Notamacropus eugenii: one gene and its partners. The protein of the gene in region 2 interacts with the protein of the main gene of each other region in a pairwise test. Links are inferred from orthologs where the notes say so. Each region holds a gene or a part of one and is shown on either strand. Other genes may lie near its edges.

What was found. The genes of interacting proteins can lie anywhere in the genome.
Region 1: the proteins of GOPC (region 2) and MYLK interact in binary tests that used the Homo sapiens proteins (3 or more experiments, as listed by UniProt). The two-hybrid records come from large-scale screens. The link is inferred for Notamacropus eugenii from reciprocal best matches to the Homo sapiens genes GOPC and MYLK.
Region 3: the proteins of GOPC (region 2) and MYOCD interact in binary tests that used the Homo sapiens proteins (3 or more experiments, as listed by UniProt). The two-hybrid records come from large-scale screens. The link is inferred for Notamacropus eugenii from reciprocal best matches to the Homo sapiens genes GOPC and MYOCD.

What each region holds. Positions count from the first base shown.
Region 1 is NC_092876.1:340,049,718-340,057,733, reverse strand, and holds the start of MYLK (myosin light chain kinase, smooth muscle), read right to left. Parts: upstream 3,003-8,016; 5' UTR 2,634-3,002; coding exon 2,600-2,633; intron 1-2,599. UniProt on the Homo sapiens protein: Calcium/calmodulin-dependent myosin light chain kinase implicated in smooth muscle contraction via phosphorylation of myosin light chains (MLC). Also regulates actin-myosin interaction through a non-kinase activity.
Region 2 is NC_092873.1:199,300,998-199,308,885, forward strand, and holds the start of GOPC (Golgi-associated PDZ and coiled-coil motif-containing protein), read right to left. Parts: upstream 3,007-7,888; 5' UTR 2,749-3,006; coding exon 2,461-2,748; intron 1-2,460.
Region 3 is NC_092873.1:314,055,008-314,062,329, forward strand, and holds the start of MYOCD (myocardin), read right to left. Parts: upstream 3,003-7,322; 5' UTR 2,691-3,002; coding exon 2,636-2,690; exon of another isoform or gene 1,935-2,635; intron 1-1,934. UniProt on the Homo sapiens protein: Smooth muscle cells (SM) and cardiac muscle cells-specific transcriptional factor which uses the canonical single or multiple CArG boxes DNA sequence. Acts as a cofactor of serum response factor (SRF) with the potential to modulate SRF-target genes.

The DNA of each region.
Region 1 (8,016 bases), on a different chromosome or scaffold from region 2:
CTGGAGTAAGGGAATGGTGACATGGTGAGAACTTAGCTTTAGGAAGATTATTTTTGCAGCTTTATAGAGGATGAACAAGAGAAGACAGGAGTCTAATTAGGACTGACAGCTGTCAGTAAGCCACATGAGGAGAAGGGTTAACACATTGTTGATCCTTATTCAATGTTCCCTACTCTGTCTTACTCTTTACTCTCAACTCACCTCCATGAAAACCTCTTTCTAAGTTAATCTTCCCAGTTCTGGTCACTGGAATCACTCTGGAAACCTCAGAGGATCCAAAGCTGAAAGGATAGTCTAGGTTAATTCCCTTAATTTTATAGTTGAGGAAACTGAGGCCCAGAAGTGAAGTGACTTGATGAAATTCACATGGATATTAAGTAGAAGAACTGGGATATGAGTCAATTCTGTGATTCCAATTCCATTTCTAGTCCATCGTATGACCTCATTCTTAATGTGTGTAAAATTAGGCAGATATTACTTGAATAGCTCTTTTTCACATCATCAATATCATTGTCTTTCAATGTTAATGCCTTATATTTATTTACTCAGAGTTTTTCCTATGTCTCCAATCGAACTGGGAGTCCCCCCAAGGGGAAGAACTATGCCTTTTCCAATGGAAGGGAAAGTAGAGGAGGACAAAAACTCAATTCCCACCCACCCCCAGACTGGGAGCTCCCCAAGGCTAGGGAAGCTCTTTCCAGTTACATCTTTACCAACCTTTTCCCCTTCAAGACAGTCCAGCATACTTAGCTAAATATAATAGGACACTTTTTTTTCTATCCTCCCAAATACCATCATCACTCCTGCTTCTACCACTACCTCCAACTTCCACATTTTCTAATTAAAAATAAAAAATCTTGTCAGGTCAAAATAAGAAAATCTTGACATGCCAAGAACATCTTCTCAGATTTGGAATCTACTAAAGGCATGAACTTTCCAGCATTGTTCCTTCTAGCTTTGTTAATGCAGGGCCAAAGGATTGTGCTAAATTGAGTAATAAGCTATGAAGGAATTATAAACTAAAGATGGAAAGATGATAACTCTCCTTGGGAGAGATGGGGCAGTGGGGGACAAGGATCAGGAAAACCTTGATTAAGTGGGTAGCATTTGAAATGAGTTCAGAAATATGGACAGGTTTGCTATAGATGGAAGTGAATCAGTCCCAAAACACTCTGAGTTCCTTAAGATCCAGAAAGACCCCAGTTTGGCTCTTTAAGTGGATGAAAAGCAACCAGCAGCTTGATTTCTGAAACACCAGCCTGGGGAACAGAGTGCAGTAGTGGGGTGTCAGGCCCTAGGAAGGGGTCTGGCCTCAGGTTAGGGAAGGAACAGTGGAGGAAGGGTGAGTTCTGGCACTCCAGAAGGAGGTGAGTAGGGAGGGGATATACTTACTCAATCATCACATGTATTAAGGCTACAACTCAGTTCCAATTCAGCAGGCACGCCAACCAGCTTCACTCACTCTCAGCCCATCATCTCACCAGCTGTCTTTACTAATATAAATAGATTCCTTTGGCATTGGCAATCAATGGCCACTGATGTTTTTAGAATGTTCAGTTAAAAAAAAAACGAATAGTCCCGGCCTCCAGGTCCCTCTTCCTCCTCCTGATAATTAGGGGTCCACTCTCCTAAGCAAAAGAAGCTGGGGGATTTCCAAGATAACCTCTGTATCAACACTCCCTGAAACCACAAACACACAGCTGGAGGAAACTCCTTCAGGACAAAATAAACTGAGATCCAAAGGGCAGCAAGTGGGGCGGTGGGGGATGTAGCAGGACACAGGATGAGAGAAGGGGCAAAAAGGTCTGAGAGTGCCAGTCCCCCAAGGCAAAAAGCTAAACCACTGTTAGTCTGTGAGGGCAATTTGCCTTGGCTTATTAATCATCACCAGAAGCAATATTTAGCGATTTCACTTTAATTCGACTCAAAATACTTTATATAAATAATCTCCTGAATCCAATTAGGGAAAAAGAAAACTTTCCGTCTCAATTATTTAACCATTTAATCCTAAAGCAGGCTTTATAGTACAGATGTCCTCCCCTTCAGTATTCTGATTTTTTTTCTCTTTTCTTCTGGCGGGGGGAAGGCGGGGAGACTACCGAAAATGAAAGTCTCTCCTATAATTCAGAGTCAAAAGACACGGGGTAAAGCAGGTTAGAAAACGGGACAAGTTTTCTGCTTTTTCCTTTGCTGCCTCAAATACCATTTAGTTCCTTTATTTCTTGAATACCTTTCTCTGACTACAAGATGCCCTGGCAACACCCTCCTTGATTTCTGCCTAGTCTCAGGCTTTTCCGTCTATACCGCCTCCCGCATTCCGGGGAGCCCCCGGTTCTCCGGTCTAACGTGAGTCCGACACTGGGACGATCCCTACAGCTGCTGGACAGAGCGAAGATAGCCCCAAGTCTCCCCCTCCCCCCGCCGGAATCAATTCTGAAATGCACACTAATCCCTACAAATTCTCACAGTCTGCTCCCTAATCTCCCTAATCCCGGAGAAAGCCGCCCCAGCTTTGCCTGGCCCCGGCTCCCTATCTGACAAGTACACAACCGGCGAAGTGAAGCAAATGAGCCCGGCGGTAAACCCGGGGAGACCTTACCCACCCGGCAGCCTCTCCCCTCGGCAGGTTCCATAGGAGGCAGCACTGACTCCACCAGCAGCTTTCCCACTTCACCACTTAATTGCACTGATTTCCTTTCCAAAGTCCATTCCCAGGAGTCCCAGAGTGCAAGGAGAGCAGAGGGAGCGAGCTGTATCACGGGCAGTAAAGGATAGACCCAGGTCACAGGAATTTAAAAGGCTTTTGTTCTGATGGGGCTCACAGATGTTGCAACTGGGCTGCTAACCATTGAGCCAACTTGGCCCGGTGCAGTCGATCTGTTGTTTTAACCCACCGAGCTGGAGTGACCTTTGTAGCCCTCTGCAGCTACGGCCTGGCTGGATTTTCAATGGAAGCCCTGGGGGACCAGAAGTGGAAGCTCACAGGTTGCTACTTGTTTAGAACTGCAGATTCCAAACTCTGTGTGTGTGTTGTGTGTGTGTGTGGGAGCAGAGTTTGCCCTAGTGGGCTCTTTCCAAAAAAAAAAAAAAAGAAGAAGAAGAAAAATAAAAATGCAGAAATGAGAGTCCTTTGACTGGGCCAAGAACATCCCCAAATCCACATCTGGGCTGGGAACACTACTACAGCCCCCAGCACCCTGGCACATCTGGAGTGGAAACAGCATCCCCAGGTTACTAGGCACGTCTGCCTTCTGGGGACAGCTCTGCCCTCTCAAGCAGAAATGTTATAGGAATAGATTCCTTCTAAAGTAGAGACAACGTCTAGTACAAACACATTACACACTGTTCTGAAGTCCCCTGAAGGGATTGGGGACCAGAGTTGAAGCAGGCTCCCTAGGCTGTGCACATGCCATCCACATGAGCCTAATTGGAGGAAGACCTTACAGAGGCCAGCCCTGGTAGACACTTAAAGTGGGCCCTTGGTCTTCAGGTTAAGAATCATACTCGGTTCATTAGCTCTGAGCACCTAGAGATAAGAGCTGACATTATAGAGTACCTTAGGGCTTAATTATCTCTATGCAGAAGATACCCCAGTCTTCATATCCAGCCCTAGGCTTTCTCCTGTCAAACATCTTCCACTGGAGATTGACACGTCCTACAGTCACCTGAGACTGAGACACATCCAAAAAGAGTCCATTCTCTTTCTTCTGGAACCTATACTCCTTGTCTATACTGTTCTCTCGTTATCACCATCGTATTAGTCACTCAGCATTCTCCCTGACTCCTCACTTTCCTTCATCCCACATATCCAATTAGCTTCCAACCTTTGTCTTTTTCATCTCCACAATCTCTCTCATATCCATCCCCTACTCTCTACACTCATGGTAACTACCTAGTCCAGGCCCTCATTACTTCTCACTTGGACTATTTGCAGTAACCTCCAGATTAGTGTCCCTACCTCAAGTGTCTCTCCTTTCTAATCTAGTGCATTAAAAATCAATAAGCATTTATTAAGTGATCAGGAACTATGATAAAATACAAATAAAGGCAAAATAGTCCCTGCCCTCAAGAAGCCAACATTCTAATGGAGGAGATATTATGTAGTGGCAGCTAAGTGTCCTAGTAAATAGAGTATTGGACCTGGAGTCAGAAAGATTCAACTTCCTGAGTTCAAATCTGGCCACTTACTAGCTGTGTGACCCTGGGCAAGTCACTTAACCACATTTACCTCAGTTTCCTCATCAGTAAAATGAGCTGGAGAAAGAAATGGCAAACCACTTCAATATCTTTGCCAAGAAAACCCCAAGACGGGGTCACAAAGAGACAGACATGACTGAAATGACTGAACAACAAGATAATATGTAAGTAACCAGGTATGTGCAAGATACATACAGAAGAAATGCATGGTGATTTCAGAGAAAAGGTACTTCAGGGTGGGGAGGAAATTATACATGGAAAGATCTGCTGAAGAGCTGATGATTTGAGCTGAGTCTTTAGGAAAGTAGGAGGAAGGGGTAAGGAGGTAAGGAGGTAGAATATTCCAGGTATGACAGCCAATGAAAAGCTATACAGATGCCAGCATGATTTTCCCAAAGCTCAGACCTGAGGATGTCACTTTACTACTCAATAAGTTCCAATATTCAAATGGAAATTCTGTGGTTTACCTTTAAAGCTCTTCACAAACTGGCCCAAACCTAACTTTCTGAACTTTTGTAGCCTATATGAGCTGTTTAATATACTCATTCCAATTCCTGCTCTCACTGACAAGAAATTCCCAGAGCAAGGCCAATTAACTCTTCCCATGAAGGTTCTAGGGGTATCCTTGAGGGCTGAGGGTTGACATTCTCTAATGCCATTGGCTCAAGCCCTCACTGGTGTGCTTCCCTCCAAAATGGTTAATTGAGAATCATTTAGTCAATATATATTTGTAATGGATTTTGTTTTTCTCACTTTGTGGGGTGAGGGAAGAAAGGAAGATAAGAGAGAGAATTCAGAGATGAAAATAAAATAAGATTGGATTAAAAAAAAAAGAATCAGTGTCAGCCAGTCTTAAATCACTTTTTAGAAATGGGAATTTGCTAAGGTACCACAATATGAATAGTTGGTACAAGAAATCCACCTCTTCTCCCCCCAAGTAATGATCTGTTAAATAAGTAGAGAGATCAAGGGAGAGTGGGCTCAAGCTGAGGGTAAATTCGAAACAAAGGAGTACCCCGCAATTCTTGGTGACTAGAAGTCCTTCCATTCCCTTGGGCATGATATGTTCTCTTGACTGGGGTACTTCTAGAGTTGTGTCTCACTATGTCATTAGCTCCTGATGATGCCTATACTGCTGCCAGCTAAAAGAAGAATGCTGTTTAGGATACTGGTGGGAAGATGGGAATTCACCATCCTCTTTAAAGTTGGATATTTATCCTCTACTCAAGGTAGAGGGTAGAATCTGGCCAAAGCCTTCCACTCCACCAAGTGAGTCCTTCTCTGGAAGTTCGGCAAGAACACCACACTCACTCCAAATTTTGGAATTCTACCTCTTCTCAATTGAACTTGATAATTGATAGATGCTCCCTGGGTGTGGTCAGGTTTCCTCAGCCTATACGAATATGATTCTTGTGCAAGTGTGCAATGTCGTTCTAGTTCTAACCCTTTCAAACTTAGCCTGAGGTGTTTTGATTGATTATGAGATCACTGGAGCTATAATGATACGTACATTACTCCCATTCCTGTACTTTATGGACCAGATAAATTGGCCTTCCTTCTGTTCCTCACACATTCACTCCATCTCCTGCCTCCATGACTTTGTACTGGCTGTCTGCTTCATGCCTGGAAATGCAGTACTGTCTCATCTCTGTCATCATCTGTCTCTTAGAATCTCTTATTTTCCTCTGAACCCTATTAAAGTGACACTTTCTACATAAAACATTCCATGACCTCTCCTTCCCTGGGTGCAAGTGCCCTCCACACAAAAAATTGCTTGGCATTTATTCTGTTTATATTTATTTATGCACATGTCATCTCATTCAATAGAATATAAGCTCCTTGAGGGCAGGCCTTGTTTTATTTTTATCTCTGTATCCCTAGTGCCGAGCATAGAACTTGACATGTAGCAAGCCTTTAATAAATGACAAGATTGATCAATTTGACCATCTCATAGAGAGTCTTTATTATGTAGTGGAAAGAATACTACATTTTTATCAGAAGATCTGGGTTCAAATCTCATTATTATTATGATCAAATCTCTGATTATTAATTTTTTATGACAGTTGGGGTTAAGTGACTTGCCCAGGGTCATATAGATAGTAAGTGCCAAGTGTTGGAGGCCAAATTTGAACTCAGGTATGCCTGACTTCAGGGCCAGTGCTCTATCCATTGTGCCACCTAGCTGCCTCCTGTCATTTATTATTAATGTAACCCTAAGCAAGTCATCTCTCAGACTCAATAAAATGAAGAGGTTGGATTAGATCAAAGGTGTCAAACTGCTGAGCTGGAACCAGATTAAAATGTAATTAGGAATGTTCAAAAAATAAATAAGAATACAAGAGAACATAGACAATGTTAATTTGTGGTTTTATAAGTCAATATACAGCTATAGGGATCATTATATGTGGTTTAGTGCTGAGAGAGATGATCTCTAACGTCCCTTCCAGCTTTAAAATCTGTAAGCCTCCGTGATCTTCACAACAATACTATGAAGTAGGTATTATAAATATTATTATCATCCCCATTTTCCCGGAAAGGAAACTGAGGCTCATATAGGTTAGGCAACACACCTATGATTATAATTAGTAAGGCTTAAGGTCTAGATCTGGAATCTGTTCTGACTCAAAGTCCAATGCTCTTTCTATTATACCATATTAACTTCTATGAAGAAGGCAGAGAATAGCTACTGTGGCTGGTTTCCACTCTGCTCTTTAACTTCTTCTTTCTGGGATACATGATAGAAATGGGTAACTTAGGTCTCCATGGGAACCTCTCATGCTATGGTAGCCCCATGCTGGGACCATTTCAAGGATATCTCTCACTAGATGGAATTACTAACCTAAGTTTTTACATTTCCATGAGCTGAATGTTTCAATTGCAATTCTTAGTGTATCCGAGGGTCCATCTTGTGACCACAAGGACCCTCTTCTAGTTACCATCTCTTGCTCTCTATTCTGCCCCTTGTCATTCACAAACATATACATTCATTGGAAAGATTAAGTGGATAGAAAGGGGAGTTGGTGGGTGGATAGGAGAGAAAATGAAGCAATAGCTTCCCTCACTTCATCACCCCTCCCCCCCAACTTCTCTATCAGGTAAAATCATCCACAAACTAGAAAACAGAGAAAGGGCTTAAATGGTTAACTTGCTTGAAGTCACACTGGAAGCAGAGAAAACCCAGGATTTGTACCCAGGTCCTCTGACTTTTGATTACAGGACTCTTTGTCACTGCCATTCTCTTACTGTTACAGCACTGGTTAGATTGGATGTTCTATAGACTGCATTCAATTCCACATCTTAAGAAGGACATTGAAAAAACTGGCATCCATCCAGAAGACAGTGACAATGATAATGAAGAGCCTGGAAAAATATCCCACAGGAGGACTGACAGAAAAACTGGGAATATTGAACCTAAAAGAGGCACATATATCTTCAAAAATTTGAAGTTTTTTTTTAACGGAAGAGGGAGCCAATTGTTGTAACCATGACACTGTGTGTCAACTTACACCCATTTCAGATCTCCATTTTATGTTAGCTTCCCACATTAGAATATAAGCTTCTTGAGGGCAAGGACTGTCTGGCTTACTTATATTTGTGTCCTTAGTATTTAGCACAGTTTGGGGTACATGGAAAGCACTCAATAAATGCTACCTACCTACCTACCTACCTACCTACCTACCTACCTACCTACCTACCTATCTATCTATCTATCTATCTATCTATCTATCTATCTATCTATCTATCTATCTATCTACACAGCTAGGTGACTCAGAGGATACAGCACCAGGCTTAGAGTCAGGAAGACCTGAGTTCAAATCT
Region 2 (7,888 bases):
AATCTTAAGATGCATTAATAGACAGAGAGTGTCCTGAACAAGGGAAGTAATCAAACATAAACATAAATCCCACCATAATCAGCAGTGGTCAGATAATACCTGGAATATTGTGTTCATTCCTGGGTACGTCATTTTTAAAAAGATATTAACAAGCTGGAGAGTATCCAGAGGAAAAAAAAAATCCAGAATGGTGATGTACTCAAAAACCATGTCATATGAGGAACAGAAAGTATGTATCAAAATAGGATGATGATATTTTCTAAGTATTCAGAAGACTGGAAATACAATGGCTACCTTGTGGTAAACTCTGAAAAGTACTTGCTGATAGTGATGCTTTTTTCTTCTCTGTACGCACAACTAAGAGTTCCTATTAATGAAAACTGCATTATTTGCTAAACTTGTAAGATTTGCTAATATTTCAGAAGTGTTGGGCAACTTTTCCCGAATATATCCCACCTAAAAATGACAGCCTATTTTTCTTCCATTTACTATGGAGTTCATCTAAAACAAGGACTGCCAACATTTGTAGTAGTAGAACAAACGTGAAAAAAAATTCAAGAAAGAAATGTTATTTTATTTTTACATTAAAAAATACAGCCTCCTACGAAAGAATTTGAAGTTAGAATATGTAATTTGAGAAAAGAGAGCAACTTTGAATAATTTATGACTACTTTTAACATTCATTTGGAATGGATAAAGATGAAGGTAACTGAAAACCACCTCCCACTCACACAATGATTCCCCTTCTACAAAATTAGTATCTTAATTTGACATTTAAGTTATCACTGTTTAAGTGTTTGGTTATCCAAGTTTTTAAGAGAAAATAAAATCTGTTCTAATACAAAAATATGTTTATTCAGAGATCTAATTAAGTCTCAGTTCAAGTTAGATTTCCTTTCTGTCATAATACAGGATCATAATAAACACCACCCACAAAAGTGTCAGAAACACATCCAAATGCAAATGCCAAAAAAGAGAAAAATTTACAAGTATTTGTTGAATTGCACAAAAGAACCCAAGAAAACATTAAAACCCAAGAAATCAAAAGGTATTTTCACCATCAGTTTCCTACCAGATTTTTTGGGAAGGGATAAGCTGTCAATGAAAATTCAGGAAAAAGTTTCAAGATGAAAATTTTAGAATGCAATAGTTGGCTAACCAAAGATTAAGTACACAATTTTTCTTTCAGGATTTACCAATTAATAAAACACAGAACCTTTACCCTTTCATGAGAAGTCACCCAAATTATGTGACAAGTAAGAACCCAAAAGTCTGGATCAATAGTAATAATTTCTTAATAAAAAATACATCCTAATTACTTTTACCTGTAACATTATTACTGTGGAACTGAAAGCTATTACCATAGTTTTTTCCCACCTAATCCCTCTGTCCTAATTTCAATATTCCCCCCTCCCTCTTTCCTACTTTAAAAGGACAGGTCTAATTCTTTCCTTATAAAACCTAAGGTGGAAACTTTCTTTCATGAAACCCTTTTATTTATTAACTCTGTAGTACTGTGAAAATGTTGTAATTTGAATTATTTTGTACCTGTGGTGTTGTGTAAATATTTCTGCCCCTAGAAAGTCACAAGAAGATCAAAGTCTGAGCATTCTTTACTTACCCGGAACCCAGCTTTTAAGAATTAGGGCATGTCAAGTAAATAAACTGATATGCCATTTAAGAAGCACCTATGTGCAAGGCACTCTGTTAAACGTTGGAAATACAAGGAATGGCTTTTTAAAAGTCCCTGTTCTCAAGGAGCTTACAAAATCTGATAGAGGAGACAACATTCCAATAACTATATACAAAAGAGATATATAGAGTATCCCCAAAATTTTAGTACATTTTTAAGATACTAAAGGTTTGGTAACTTAAAACTGCACTAAGACTTGAAAAAGCTACTAAAGCTTTTAATTGCATTAAGATTTCTGGGGACAAACTATTTATAGGATGACTTAGAAATAATCTCGGAAGGAAAGCAGTAAGGGGCTCGGAAAAGCTTCACAAATAAAACCCACTGCTGAAGGGCCGTTCCAAGCAACTGAGGTAACTTAAAACCTGTCTATAAACAGAACCACTCTGCTATCTATAATTAAGGAAAGCGATCCCCTCTCCAAACTCATTTGTCTCCACAGATCTGATCAAATTCCACCGAACAGCTCAGGTACTGAAGAAAAAAGCTACCCACCTGAAAAAGAATCAAGAGTCTATCAAGAAGCAAAGCTGCTAATCTGATGGAAGAACCTCCAGTGCTGGGATGGGGGGTAAGGAGCAGGGGGAGCAGGACTAAGGCATCGCCCTCACGCCAAGTCCCAGCGTTCAGGAAAGGAGCTGGGGGAATCGCCTCTTCTTACGGGGGAAAGGGAGTCGTACCCGTAGTGGCTTTGGCGGCCGCCCCCAGGCGTCTGCCTCGGCCTCCCCGCCGGGAGCGAGCCCCCGCCACCCCTCCTCCGGGCTCACCTCCAGCTTGTGATTAATCTGGGACACGGTCTGCGCCTTGTGGCAGAGCTGCGCGAAGCAGGAGCTCAGGCTGGTCATCTTCTGGCGTCCCTCGTAAGTGATGTCCGCCTGGTCCGGGTCGATCTCGCCCAGGAGGAGGTCCACGTCCACGAAGGCCTTGTCAAACTCCTTCTCCAGCACCTCCAACCATCGGAACATCGACACCCCCCCGGGGGGCACCCCTGAGGCGCAGGAGGCACCCCCGGAGACCCCTCCGGGCCCCGCCGAGCACGGGCCGCCCGCCGACATGGCGCTGTTGAGGGCCTGCCCCTCGCCTCTCCCGCCGACCCGGCCACCTGCCCGCGGGAGGGGAACAGCCGGGACCGAGCGCTCCGCGAGCGCGCCGCTGCCGGTCCTGCGTCCCTGGCCCCTCGCGCAGGTAACGATGGGAACCCAGCTCTAAGGGTGGCAAAGGGATGAAGCAGAGGTTGAAGCAGCTACGGAGGAGGAACTGGCTAGACCGCGGGTCGGAGTCGCACCCCCCCACCCCCCTCCCCCGTCCCCTTTGCGCACGCGCAGAAGCAATCCGCCACTGGCGCCGGAGAGGGAGGAGTGGGGAGGGGCAAAGGTCAGCCCCTAGCCTGTGATAGGCTTCTGACAGGGCCCAGCCTCTCCGTGGCCATCTTGGGTACTGGCAAGTTGCGGGATGAGAACTCAACGCAAGAGTTGGAGGTGTTGAGCGCGTCACTGTCTACGTGGGAAGGCATGGAGGAAGAGCGACAGTGTCCACGTCGCGTAGGAGAGTAGCTTCCGTCCATCTCTTCCTCTGTCAGATCCCAAAGTGGTAGGGCAGAAGGGGGCGCCGAGGCTAGAGCGATGAAGTACCTTCTGCGCGTGCGCGGTAGACACGTGTTTTGGTTTTTTTTTTTTTTTTTTTGTCCTATCCTGACGTCGTCACGCCTCTTCTCCCGGCCAGGTGTTCTCCCCAGGGAGCTTCAGTTTGTTAGCCTGTTGGACATCTGCCGAGCATCCTTTGCATCTTTTCCAGCCCATCCCCATGCTTCCCTTCGGGCGGCGCAGAGTGGGCTCTTAGTACCTGGAAGCCCCGGGAATGCGCCGCGCGGGCTCGAGGGCTGCAGGAGAGGGAGCATCGGCCCAGGACAGACAGCCCGCGAAGGCTGCGCTGCCGGTGATCCCCAAGCGGAGCCGAGACCCTTCGGGGCCGGCTATGGGCGAGCCCAAGAACCACGGAAGTGAAGGGGACTTGAGAGACCCTGCCCACCCCCTTCCCCGCTTCTTCTCGGATGTGGAAACTGACAGCCCCCGTGGTGCCAGATATGCTTCGACGGGAAGTCGCGGAGCTGGTATTTGGACTTCATTCCTCCGATTCCGAAGAGGGCGTTTGCCGCTGGCCCGCATCTGCCTCCCACTCTGGCAGCACTTTTTAGAATGTGCAGCGCAGCTTTGGTTTGGTTTTCAGGAGGGGGACAGATGAGCCCATCCTTAAAGGAAAACGTGTTAAAGTTATCCCTCTGTACACTACAATAAAACAAAACTTGGGAGAGTTTATCCTTTCCTTTAGTTTCAGAAACAAAGTAATTTAGACACTACTTGTGAACGAATCATTTCCCCAACCCTGACTTGTTTTTTTGAGGCCCAGGCAGTTTGATTATAAAATCGCAGGAGTGGTAATGTGGTATACAGTGGGTAGAGAGTTGGCCTCCAAGCCAAGAAGAGCTGAGTTCGGTCCCTCTAGTGACTCATGCTGGCTGCATGACTCTGCATGTGACTCAATTTCCTCAGTATTCTGAGGCAACTAAGATTATAAATTAGACAGAACATGCTGACCTGCACCAGTAGTAGTTTCCTCACCCAGAAACTGTTCTTACCAATGAAATCACAGGTCCAGTCCCTAACTTATGGAGAAATGAATGTCATATATGGATGTTACCTTAATTTTTACAAATATTAGTCAATATTAGTATGTAGGTAGTAGAGGGAGGGGGAGTAAAAGCATAGAAGAGAAATTGAAGAAAAGGATATTGTAATGTCGCAGATATGTAAGGCCAACCTATGGAGAGGACTGTTGTATGGCTCAAAGTATTCAGAACAAACATCTCTAGCCTCTTCTCCTACTTTAATTCCTTCCAGGAAGGGAAGCAAAATGTTCGGGCCAGAAGACGCTAATCTACTATCTTCAAAGACAGGGAGTACCAGGTTAGAAGTATCTGATCACTTTGTCGTTTTGGGGGGAAGAAGGACTCTAAGATCTATATTCAGGGCCTGACCCCTTCTTCACCAAATACCAGTTTCCCAGTGAAAACACAGAAAATAGCAAAGGAACTCATTTATTCAAAGCACAGCAAAGCAGAAGGTATACAAATAATATACAGCACACAATTGAGAATGAAGGGGCTTTGTCTTTGGGAGTGAAATAACCCAACCAAGAATGTGTTTTATCTCACTGAAGAGATAATTCCCCCAAACCTCTAGTATAGCTAGCTGGAGATAGGGAAATGCAAGCTCTACTCATGTGTTTCCAGAATTTATTCCTGGAAGCTAGGAGTACCTGAGAGGAATTAATGCTCAAAGACTTGAAGCTTGGCCAGTCCCAGAGAGGATGGATTCTAAAGAGTTCTGAAGAGGGATTACTGAAATGTGGAGCTCTCTGCCTCCCACCAATTCCACTTTGTCCATCATGGAGGGTAGGGCCTTCATCTCCACCAATAAGGAGAGAATCTTGTACGAATGGGCTTTGGGACAGGGATTATAATAATTTGACCAGCACCCATAAAAATGAAACTGTAGAGAAGTGAGTGCTACTTAAGTCTTATTCTTAAGCCTCATGAGGTACAGATTGTCTTGTGTTCTCAATGGCCATGCTTGCAAGGTGCAAGCTCTAGAAGGCTCTGCAAAGATAGTTTTGCTTATGGGTCCAGAAACAGCATGTATCTGTTCTCTGAAAACAAGCTTTATTAAGTTCTGAGGAGTTTGTCACTGTCAGCAGCAGAATAAAAAATAAATTCTGCCAAAGCTTCTAATAAAGATCACAAAAGGGTAGGAGTTTTGATCTGCCTTGATAGAGAACCTACACACTCAAAATTACAGATTTTTTAAAATATCAAAGTACAAGTGATGACTTGGATTGATTTATGTTATCTTGCCAACTTGTTCAGTACCTTTAAAACCAGCAGCAAATCATGGAAAGAAAGTTGCAGGGAGATTGAGTAGGGAAGAGGAAAGAGGTAAAGGTACATGATGAATATATTATACTGTATGGCCATTTTCTCCTTCATACTTCTCCCCTAAACATTTTTGTTTAGTTGAGTTCAAGTCAAAGCTTATTTTGAAATTGGAAAGTTGTTACACAATGATAAAGGAGAATCTAAGTGTTAGCAAGGGCTATAGCTAAGACTACATTCATCAGTGGCAAACAAAACAAAATTAAAACAGGAGAAAAGAGGGAGGGAATTACATGGCAAGAGTCTGACTACAGAGGCCATTTTGCTGTGAAAGAATACTGCCTGGCACTTGGCTCTACAGGGTTGGAGGAGAAGGTGGCCCTGAATGACAAGACACTAAACATGGCAGCCTTCCTCTAGACTGCTACCCCCATCCACCAACAGGCTGACCAGTACTCTGAGGAAATCAGACTCCAGACAACCCCCTACAATTAGAGTTGGCCTAGGTTAAGTGATTATGGAAGCTACAGTTATTAGAAAGAAGGTACTAGAATTAAGGGGGAGTCAGGAAAGACTTCGTATAGAAGGTGAGATTTTAGCTGGGATTTGAAGAAAGCCAAGGAAGACAGGAAGAAAAGGTGTGTAGGAAGAATTTGCAAATGGAAAGATGGAGTATCTTGGAGGAACAGCAAGGAGGTCAGTATCACTGAACAGAAGAGTATGTAATAAAGTGTAAAAGGATTGGAAAGGTGGGAGGAGAGCAAGTTATAAATGGCTTTGAATATCAGAGGATTTAACATTTGATCTTGAATGTGATGGGGAGCCACTAGATTGTATTAAATGGAGGCAGGAGGGGTTGACATCTTCAGACTGGTCAAACCTTAGGAAGATCTGAGAGCAAAGTGGAGGATGGACTGGAGTGAGGAGAGACTTGTGACAGGGAAACCAACCAGCAAGTTTCTGCCTGAGGTATGAGGTAGAAAGGACCTGTACTATAGAGGTAGTAGTGTCATAGGAGAGAAAGCGGTATGCACAAGAGATGTTATGAAGGTAAAAATTGACAAACCTTGACAATAGATTGGATATAGGGGTGAGAGAGTGAGGAGTGGAGGATGAAGCCTAGGTGGCAAACCTGGGGGCTAGGAGGGTAGTAGTGCCATCAATAGTAATAAGGAAGTTAGGAAAGGGGAGGGTATAGGGAGGAAGATAATAAGTTCAGTTTTAGACATGTTGAGTTTGAGACTTTTATGGGATGTCCAGTTCAAGGTGTCTGAGAGGCAGTTAGAGATGGGAGATTGGAAGTTAACAAGAGACATTTGGCCTGGATAAGTAGATTTGAGAATCATGAACATAGAGATCATCAAGTGAAGGAGTATAGAGAGAGAAGAGAAGAAGGCTCAGGTCAGAGTCCTATGGGCATGATCTGGATAAAGATGTAGGAAAGGAGGTTAAGGAGTGGCCAGATATTCATCCTTAATAATGGCAGAAAAAACAGAGGCTTGGATGTTTCTTTTTCATACTATGCTCCTTTTTTCCTGATCTCCCCAGTTAGTTCCCCTCAACAAAATTCTTCTACTTTTACTTTGTATATATTTTATATTGACTTATCTGTGTGCATATTTTCCCAGCAGGAGAATGTAAACTCTTTGAGGGTAGAGATGGTTTTGTTTTTGTCTTTGTCCCTTCAAAACCAAACATAGGGGGATGGAACCAAGATGGTGGAGTAGAAGGACCGACCTGCTTTAGCTCTTTCCCTGTAGCCCATAAAATACCTGTAAAAAATGGCTCTAAACAAATTCTAGAGCAGCAGAAGCCACAAAATGACAGAGTGAAAGAGATTTCCAGCCCAAGACAGCCTGGAAGGCCAACAGGAAAGGCATATTGCACCAGGCTCAAAGTGGAACAGTGTGCACCCCAGCCTCAGAGTGCAGCATGGACAGGACTGGAACAGGCTTCAGGGTATGGAATCATGGACAGCAGCTGTGGTTCCCAAATTTCTGAACCCACAAATGCCAAAGACAGCTTCAAAGGTCAGTAAGAAAACTCTTTCACCTGGATAAGAGGAGAGTGGCATCTGGCCCTGGCCCCAGGGTGGCAGCAGCCACTGCGGCAGCAGCATCCTCTTTTGGAGCCCTTGGCCTAAAGACCCTGGGAGAATCAAGTGGCTGATCTGGGTCTCAGATATCCATAAACACTTAAGAGTTCACCCTAACTATCTGCATTAGATAAACCAAATGGATGCAGAATGCCTATTGTCCAAAAACTGA
Region 3 (7,322 bases), about 110 Mb from region 2:
AAAAGAGAGAAACTATAAAAATGCGGTTTATATACAACTAATATTAATTACAGCTATTTTTATAAACTGCTTATCTTGCATTAACTGTTATGCAGCATGATAATTTAACTTACAAAATTATTGTGAGTGAAACCCATTTATTTTATGTGCTATTACTTTTTTATAATTTTCATGAAATCAGAACGTTAGAGCTAGAAAGGGACATAAGAGAACATTTAATACATCCCTCACTGTACAAGTGAGAAAATAGATCCAGAGAAGTTAAATCATTTGTCCAAATTTACATATATAGTATTATTTGACTACTACTATAGTATTCTAGACTACATCCTATGTTTAGCCTTCATCGTTTATTGTTTAGGTAGTCTTGTCATTTGTTCATAACTGGGAAAATTTTTTAAAGGGATATTAGCTGTTCAACATTTGGCACATCAAATTTCACTTATAGTTATTCATATCAATCCCTTTGAAATGTCACAATGATTATTAACAAAATTTAGTTTCTCTAAAAAGAAATACTCTCCATAAATTAAAGAATTTCAGTCTCTTTTGCAAATAACAAAGCAAAATCAAGTAATGAAACTGGAATAGCCATATAAGATTAAATATTGTCTCTAAGAGGCCAAAATTTGATAAAGGCCAACCCTTACTTGTTTGTCACAAGCTACAATAGACTTTTTGTAGAAAGAGCCCCCCTTTCAGAACAACTCAAGGATGCAGGAGCTGCTTATATATCTCTCTATATAAGTGTATCTAAGCACAAGAATTACATTACTTCCTAATTTATCATCATGTTTTCTTAAGGTTTCTAATGACATCTTTCTTACATTTTCTTAGCATATTGCCAGCCTCCATGTGTGTCTCTGATTGCCAGGCTGAATGTTTCTAGACTCAAGGTTGTGATGTAATCACATTTGCTTATGTCTTTATTTTCATATCTTTCTCCTCAAACCAACCTTCCTGTCTGCCATGAGACACTGTCTTAGCAGATGAAATATGAAGTGAGTATGCTAAGTAAGGTCTTTGGTATGAAATATCCCTGTGATCAAAGACTCCAAAGCATTACCACGGATACCAGTATAATCAACCTCAAATTCATGAGATATAGTGGGAAATAATATTAGCAAAAAAAGATGAGCCCATAAATCCACCACGATGGGCCACATGAATTGTGGAAGAATTTAATGTGCTCACTACCCCCTTGAAATTTACTGTAAGGAAAGATTCATTTGACAAGTATGTTTTGCAAGTGTATTATCAAGAACATCACAAAATCCTTTTACAGGCAAACCAGGCAAAAATTCATTTTAAAAACAGCCATGGCTCACATGAAAAGAATGTGGCTGCCCTCAAAACAAGGTTGCACCCTCTCTTCTTCAGAAAGGTGGCAGTATTGCTTCACAATTCTTGATAGAAATCTATTCATCACACTTCACCAAACAGAGAAATGGCTTGATCAACTGCAGTGTTAAGATCTCAAGGGACAGACACACACACACACACACACACACACACACACACACACACACGAATCTTCTTGGAGTTGTGGTTTCCATTTACATTCTGGAGTTTTGATAACATTGCTAATGTTGTAGCTGCTGAAGTCTATTTCTGGTAAACACCTCACTCCCATCATCATTCTTACAAACCTCAGGTGTCGTGATAAAAAATAAAATGAAGCAACAAGAATTAAAAGAGGCATTTTGGAAAACTTCGGGTTAGAAATAGGAAAACTCTCTAGGGTTCTTCTGAATAAAAGTTTTGGCAAATTTGCATATTGTCCTAAGGTATAGAATCCTAAAGTAAAACATCACACAATAGTAATTCCCCCGCTATTGAATTGCATAGCCCATTGAATCATAGCAGTTTTATGTGTAAAGTTAATTAGGAAGGATTTAGAGGAAAAATGTGCACAGGTGTATATGAATACTCACTTGCTGGACTTTATCTGTAGGAATTTGAATAAAGACTTTCTGTTGAGGAGGGGTTGGCCCTTTCAGGTCCCTTCACTCACCTTCGCTCAGAGAGAATGATCTTTCAGAAGTTTCTCTGCTCTCCACTAACACAGAAGATTTGGGATAGATTCTCAGTTTATAAATATCAGATGGTTGTGGAGGAACTGTGGCACTGGGTCTTTTTTCTGCAGTGATGTCATTTTAAATAAATTTGCTATTTTTACTTCCCCCAAGTGACTTTTCTTTTTTGGAAATGCGTTTATGTGAATTAGTTGTGTCCCAACTGATCTCTAGGTTCTAATATACTAGTACCTGGTTGGTCTTCTCAGGAATTATAACCTAACATACCAAAAAGCACAAACTGGAGATTTCTTAATTGTTCCTTTCAGAACTTACTCCTTCATATATATGACCCAATTTATGGGGTATGAAAAGAAATGAAAATTAATAGGAGTTATTATAATCCAAACACGAAACACAGATGAACTAAAAGCAAAGAAATTAGATTCATACAATTATCTCCCAATTTAAATGCAAGCCTGCCCCCAGAATATTGGGAAGGGGGACAGAACTGTGGCAGTATTAGCAATCTGTTATCATTTGCCTTGTTTGGGGCTTCAAATACATTTAATAAAAAAGCAAATAAGACTTGCAGAAGAAGAAAGTGTAATGAGCCCTACCTGATCTGAACTTGTTCCGAATCAACAAAGAATGCTCAGACCCCAGGAGTGTCATGGTGATTCTCAGCAAGCAGTCCTGTGCCAGAAACCCCACCCTGATTTCAACCAGGAGGCAAAATGACCACAGCTAATAATTCAGAATTCATCCGATGTTTGTTGTGCTTTCCTGGGGACTTGTCTTGCAGCAGCCAGTACCTCAAATCAGTTTGGATGCAACGCACACTGACACTAACAGAAAACTAACTGCTCACCCTCGCTGTGCAGAGCTAATTACTCAGCCAGAAGGATCCTCCTCCTACTCAGAGGTTACTATGATCATGGTAGGCTTTCTTGGCTGATGTCATAGCCTACCAAGGATCGGAGAGTATTGCTAACAAGTTTTTTAGTAAAGTCTCAAGTTTGATATCTGATACCCACTACTACTGATAGGAGCTCAGCCAATCAGAAGCTTATTGCTTGGACCTGGAATTTGGAGCCGCCAAGAGAATATCAGCACAGCTGGTTTAACTCTTTGTAGCATGCTGAGCTGTCCCAGAGACTGCAAATATGAATTGGGGCAGGCAGGGGAAGGAACAACAATGTGTCTTTAGGAAACTGGAGGCAGTAATCCTTCCGTACAGAGCAAATTTAAGAAATTAAGAATTACAATGTTGTTAGGCTTTCCAAGTGTGATCTGTGTTCATGGAATAAGACGTGACCTTTCAGGGACTAGGAATTTGTAAAAATAAGCCAAGGATTTCCTAGCCCATGTTCTGACCTTGGAGTGAGAAACAGATAGTAATAGATTCTGCAGAATCAATTGTCTTTAGGAGTTTAGTTTTAATGGGGGCTATCGGGAAAATCCCCAAAGCTGTTTTGGGGCCCTCAGTTTTCAACATGTCTGTGTTCCTACAGGGCAGTTTGGATTTGTAGCATTCAGGAAAGAGATAAGCTGAAGCACTTCAAAATAAACAAAACTTCCAGTGGAACATACTGTCCTCATATCTTCTCTTGGTCCCACGGGGCCTAGTGTAGCTAGACCAGTGAGATTATTTTATATTGGGGTTTCTTCCCAAGAATCAAATCTTAAGCAGCCTCAGTGAAAAATCACACTCTTTGATAGACAATCTAACTTGATTTTTGCAAGTGAAATATATTGCACACACACATTGAACTCTCTCATACTGAATCTTTTTCTGTTCGCAGAAAAGGAATACGCTGAAGTCACCAAGCAAGATCTGGATCCAGCAACTGATCTCACCAAGCAGGTTATAGCAAAAGAGAAAGCTTCAGACTTTTGGAAGGAAAGCTAAGTTCTTTCTATGAATGAGTTCTGTTTCTAGTTCAATAGGGTTTTGTCACATTTAAAGTTTCCCCTAAACCTTACTGCTACAGGTTCCAAGTCACCCCACACCTTCTGCATTTCCTTCCTCTTATACTAAAACTGATAGGATGTGGGCATGAAGAATGATGCATTCCAGATTTGACAATAAAATTTATGAAATGGAAATAGCTAATACTTTCTGGATTTATGATAAAGTTATGATACTCAAATTCTGAATCTCAGTTTGTAGCACTGAGGAATAGACATGTAGGTTCCAGAAAGTTTTAACAATTTATTGCTCAAATCTGAGAACTGATTCTCCAGGGACAAGGCAGGTCAGTGAGATGTATAGTCATTCCTAACAGCATCGTAAAAATACGTTGGTAGAGTGGGACAGAGGTACTCCCTCCACTATCAATGAAGATCCTTTCACCCATGCAGCTAGGTAATTTGTCTGCAACTTAAATTTTTAGAGTTGAGACACTGAGAGGTAGAGTTTATTCTAGCAAATCATGCTGTGTACACTACTGCTTGAGCATTTCTGTGACAGTGAAATCAATTCAAATTGAGCATCAAGTGAAGCTTTAAAGACTTGTGGGGTAGGAAAAATCTGAAAGAGCACTTTGAGTCTTTTGCACAAACCTGAAGTCACCCCATTCTGTTGTTTCCAACCCCTTTCCACACACCTTGATGACAAGTTGCCTATTTCCCAAAGTTGAGGATAGAGGATGAGGAATAAGACCTGGAATGCTCTGGTAAAGAGAGTGTGGGTAAAAGTTTTATTTTCTAATTAGTGAATCTCAGTAAAAAGTTCTATGTGACTATTTTAAAACAGCCAAATAGATTTTATCCTGAGAACTTTTGGTCAAGAGAAAATGCTGTATGTGTCAACTCAAAAGGGAATTTTGGGGAGGTGAAAGTTATAAAAACAGCTGAGGCAAACATAAAATGTAAGGGTCTGTATGACCTCAACTAGTTGGCCAGAAGTGTTTGCCATTTGAGAATTTATGTGCAACAATAAACAGCATACTTACCTAGGATATCTGGATTTGAGGGTAAGCTGGAGCACTGACTGGTTTCAAAGACATTGATGATCTCAGGAGCATCTTTACCCTTTGTGTGCTTCATTAGGATGGAGCTATTGATATCTATCTATCTCCTGAGTATTAATATTAATGGACTTTGAAAACTTCCAGATAATGTCACTTCTTTGTAAAAAAGAAATCATATTTTTCAATCAGAAAATATCCACCTTCTCTCCATTCCATCTCAACTCATCTCCCTCCCCCAATTGAGAACGTAAGATGGACAAAATCTCTTATTACAAATATATATAGTTAAGCAAAACAAATTTCTATATTTGCTATATTTGATAATTCTCTCCATCTTTCTATGAGGAAAGTTTGTTTGTATGGCAGTATGTTTCATCCTCTGGAATCGTAGTTGATTATTATGTTGATCAGTATTCCTGATTCTTTCAAAGTTGCTTTCTTTTATAATATTGTCATTATATAAATTATTCATTCATTCATATATAAATTATATAAATTGTTCTGCTGGTTGCTTCCACTTCATACAATCTTTCCAGGTTTATCTGAAACCATATCCTATTTTTATTGCCAAAACTTGCTCAACACTCCCCAATTTATGGGCATCTTCTCATATTCCATTCTTTGAGATCTCTAAAAGAACTATAAACATTTTTTCTACATCCTTAGAGTTTGTTTTGCTTAGAGACTCATCTCTTCCTTAATCTACCCTCCCTTTAATTTCACCTCTTTACTTTCTATTTCCCTATGGAGCGAAATGCATTTCTGTACTCAACAGTGAAAACAGAACTGTGCATATGTGTTTATGTTCTTCTCTCCTTTGATCAGTTCAGAGGAGAGTGAGGTTCAAGTGTTAGCCATTCATTCCCACTCCCTCCTACTTAAGTATATAGATGTCTACTTGTACATCTTGATTATGTGAAATAATTTTCTCTAATCTTCTTTTCCCCTTATGATCCCTCAGGGTGTGTCTCTTGCCCCATTTTTCCATTATTTTCTTAAGTTCATCAAGATATAAAAGAACAAATTAATTTTTTCAGCCTTTTGATTTTGTTTTTAATATTTCTTGTTTCATGGAGTCATGTCTCTTGGGTAAGATACCTTTTATACCAAGCTATTAATTCTCTTTTTAATTCTTTCATCCACCACTCTCATTTCTTTTCCAATATTTTCCTTTAACATTCTCATTTCATTTATAAAAAATATTTTTAGCTCTTTTAAAAATTCATCTCTCAGAATTCTAGCTGAATTTGTGTCCAAAGTGTTTTCCTTTGAGTCTTTGTTTGTAGATGTTTTGGAGTCATTTTCTTCTTTGGGGGTTGTATCTTGAATATCCCTATTACCATAATAGCTTTTTATGGTAGGATACTTCTTTAAAAATTTTGTTCATTTTTCTAGCCTATTTCCTGATTTTAGATTTGATTTTAGAGGTATACTCTGCACATTTCTGGAATGAAGTTCTAGGCTGGACTCTGTTGCTTTCTTTTTTGGATATTGAATATTATATTATTCTGCAATCTCAGGAACACTTTAGGGTGGCGACCTGTAAATGTTCAGTACTTGCAAAATGGTCTAGTCCAAGGCAATGTCTCCTTTCCTTCTCCTGCCTTTCCTACTTTGTCCACCTTGTCTGAGTCCTTGAAAGTTCCTCACTCCCTCCATCCCAATAAAAAAAACCTTTAAAATAATGCCTCAAATAAAATTTTGATGAGATGGGGCCAAGAAATGGGCAGAGTGAGACATTTTTCCAGCCTAAGAAAACTTTGGAGGTCAGCTGGAAAGCTCTGTGATTCCAGAGTGAAGACTGGTTTAGAGCGTGCATGTGCCACAGCTGCAAAGCCACTGCTGCAGCAATCGCAGTCACAACCACAGTTGCAGCCATTGGTGCAGCAGCTTAGGAGTTCTCAGCCCAGAAATGGCAAAGGGATCAGACAACTGATCAGAAAGAGATTATAGGGAACTCATTGCTGGTACTGGGTACAGTACTGAATGACAGTTTTATTACCTGTATGCGGTTCTGAGTCACAGTTCCAGGATGGAGAGGAGTGCTAATGCTTGAAGTGGCAGGGGAACAGGGGGCCTGGTCACAGTTCCCAGGCAGAGAGAAGCACTAGCATTTGTGGCTGCAGGAGAATGATGGACTTGGTCAGAGCTCTAGGGCAAAGAAGAGTTCTAGTTTTGATAATTAGTGCCTTATACTATAATTTAAGATCATCTACTGCTATATCTCCTTCCTTTATATTTTTTCATTAGGTCTTTTGATATTCTTGCCTTTTTGTTCTTCCAGATGAATTTTGTTATTATTTTTTCTAATGTAGTAAACTAATTTTTTGGT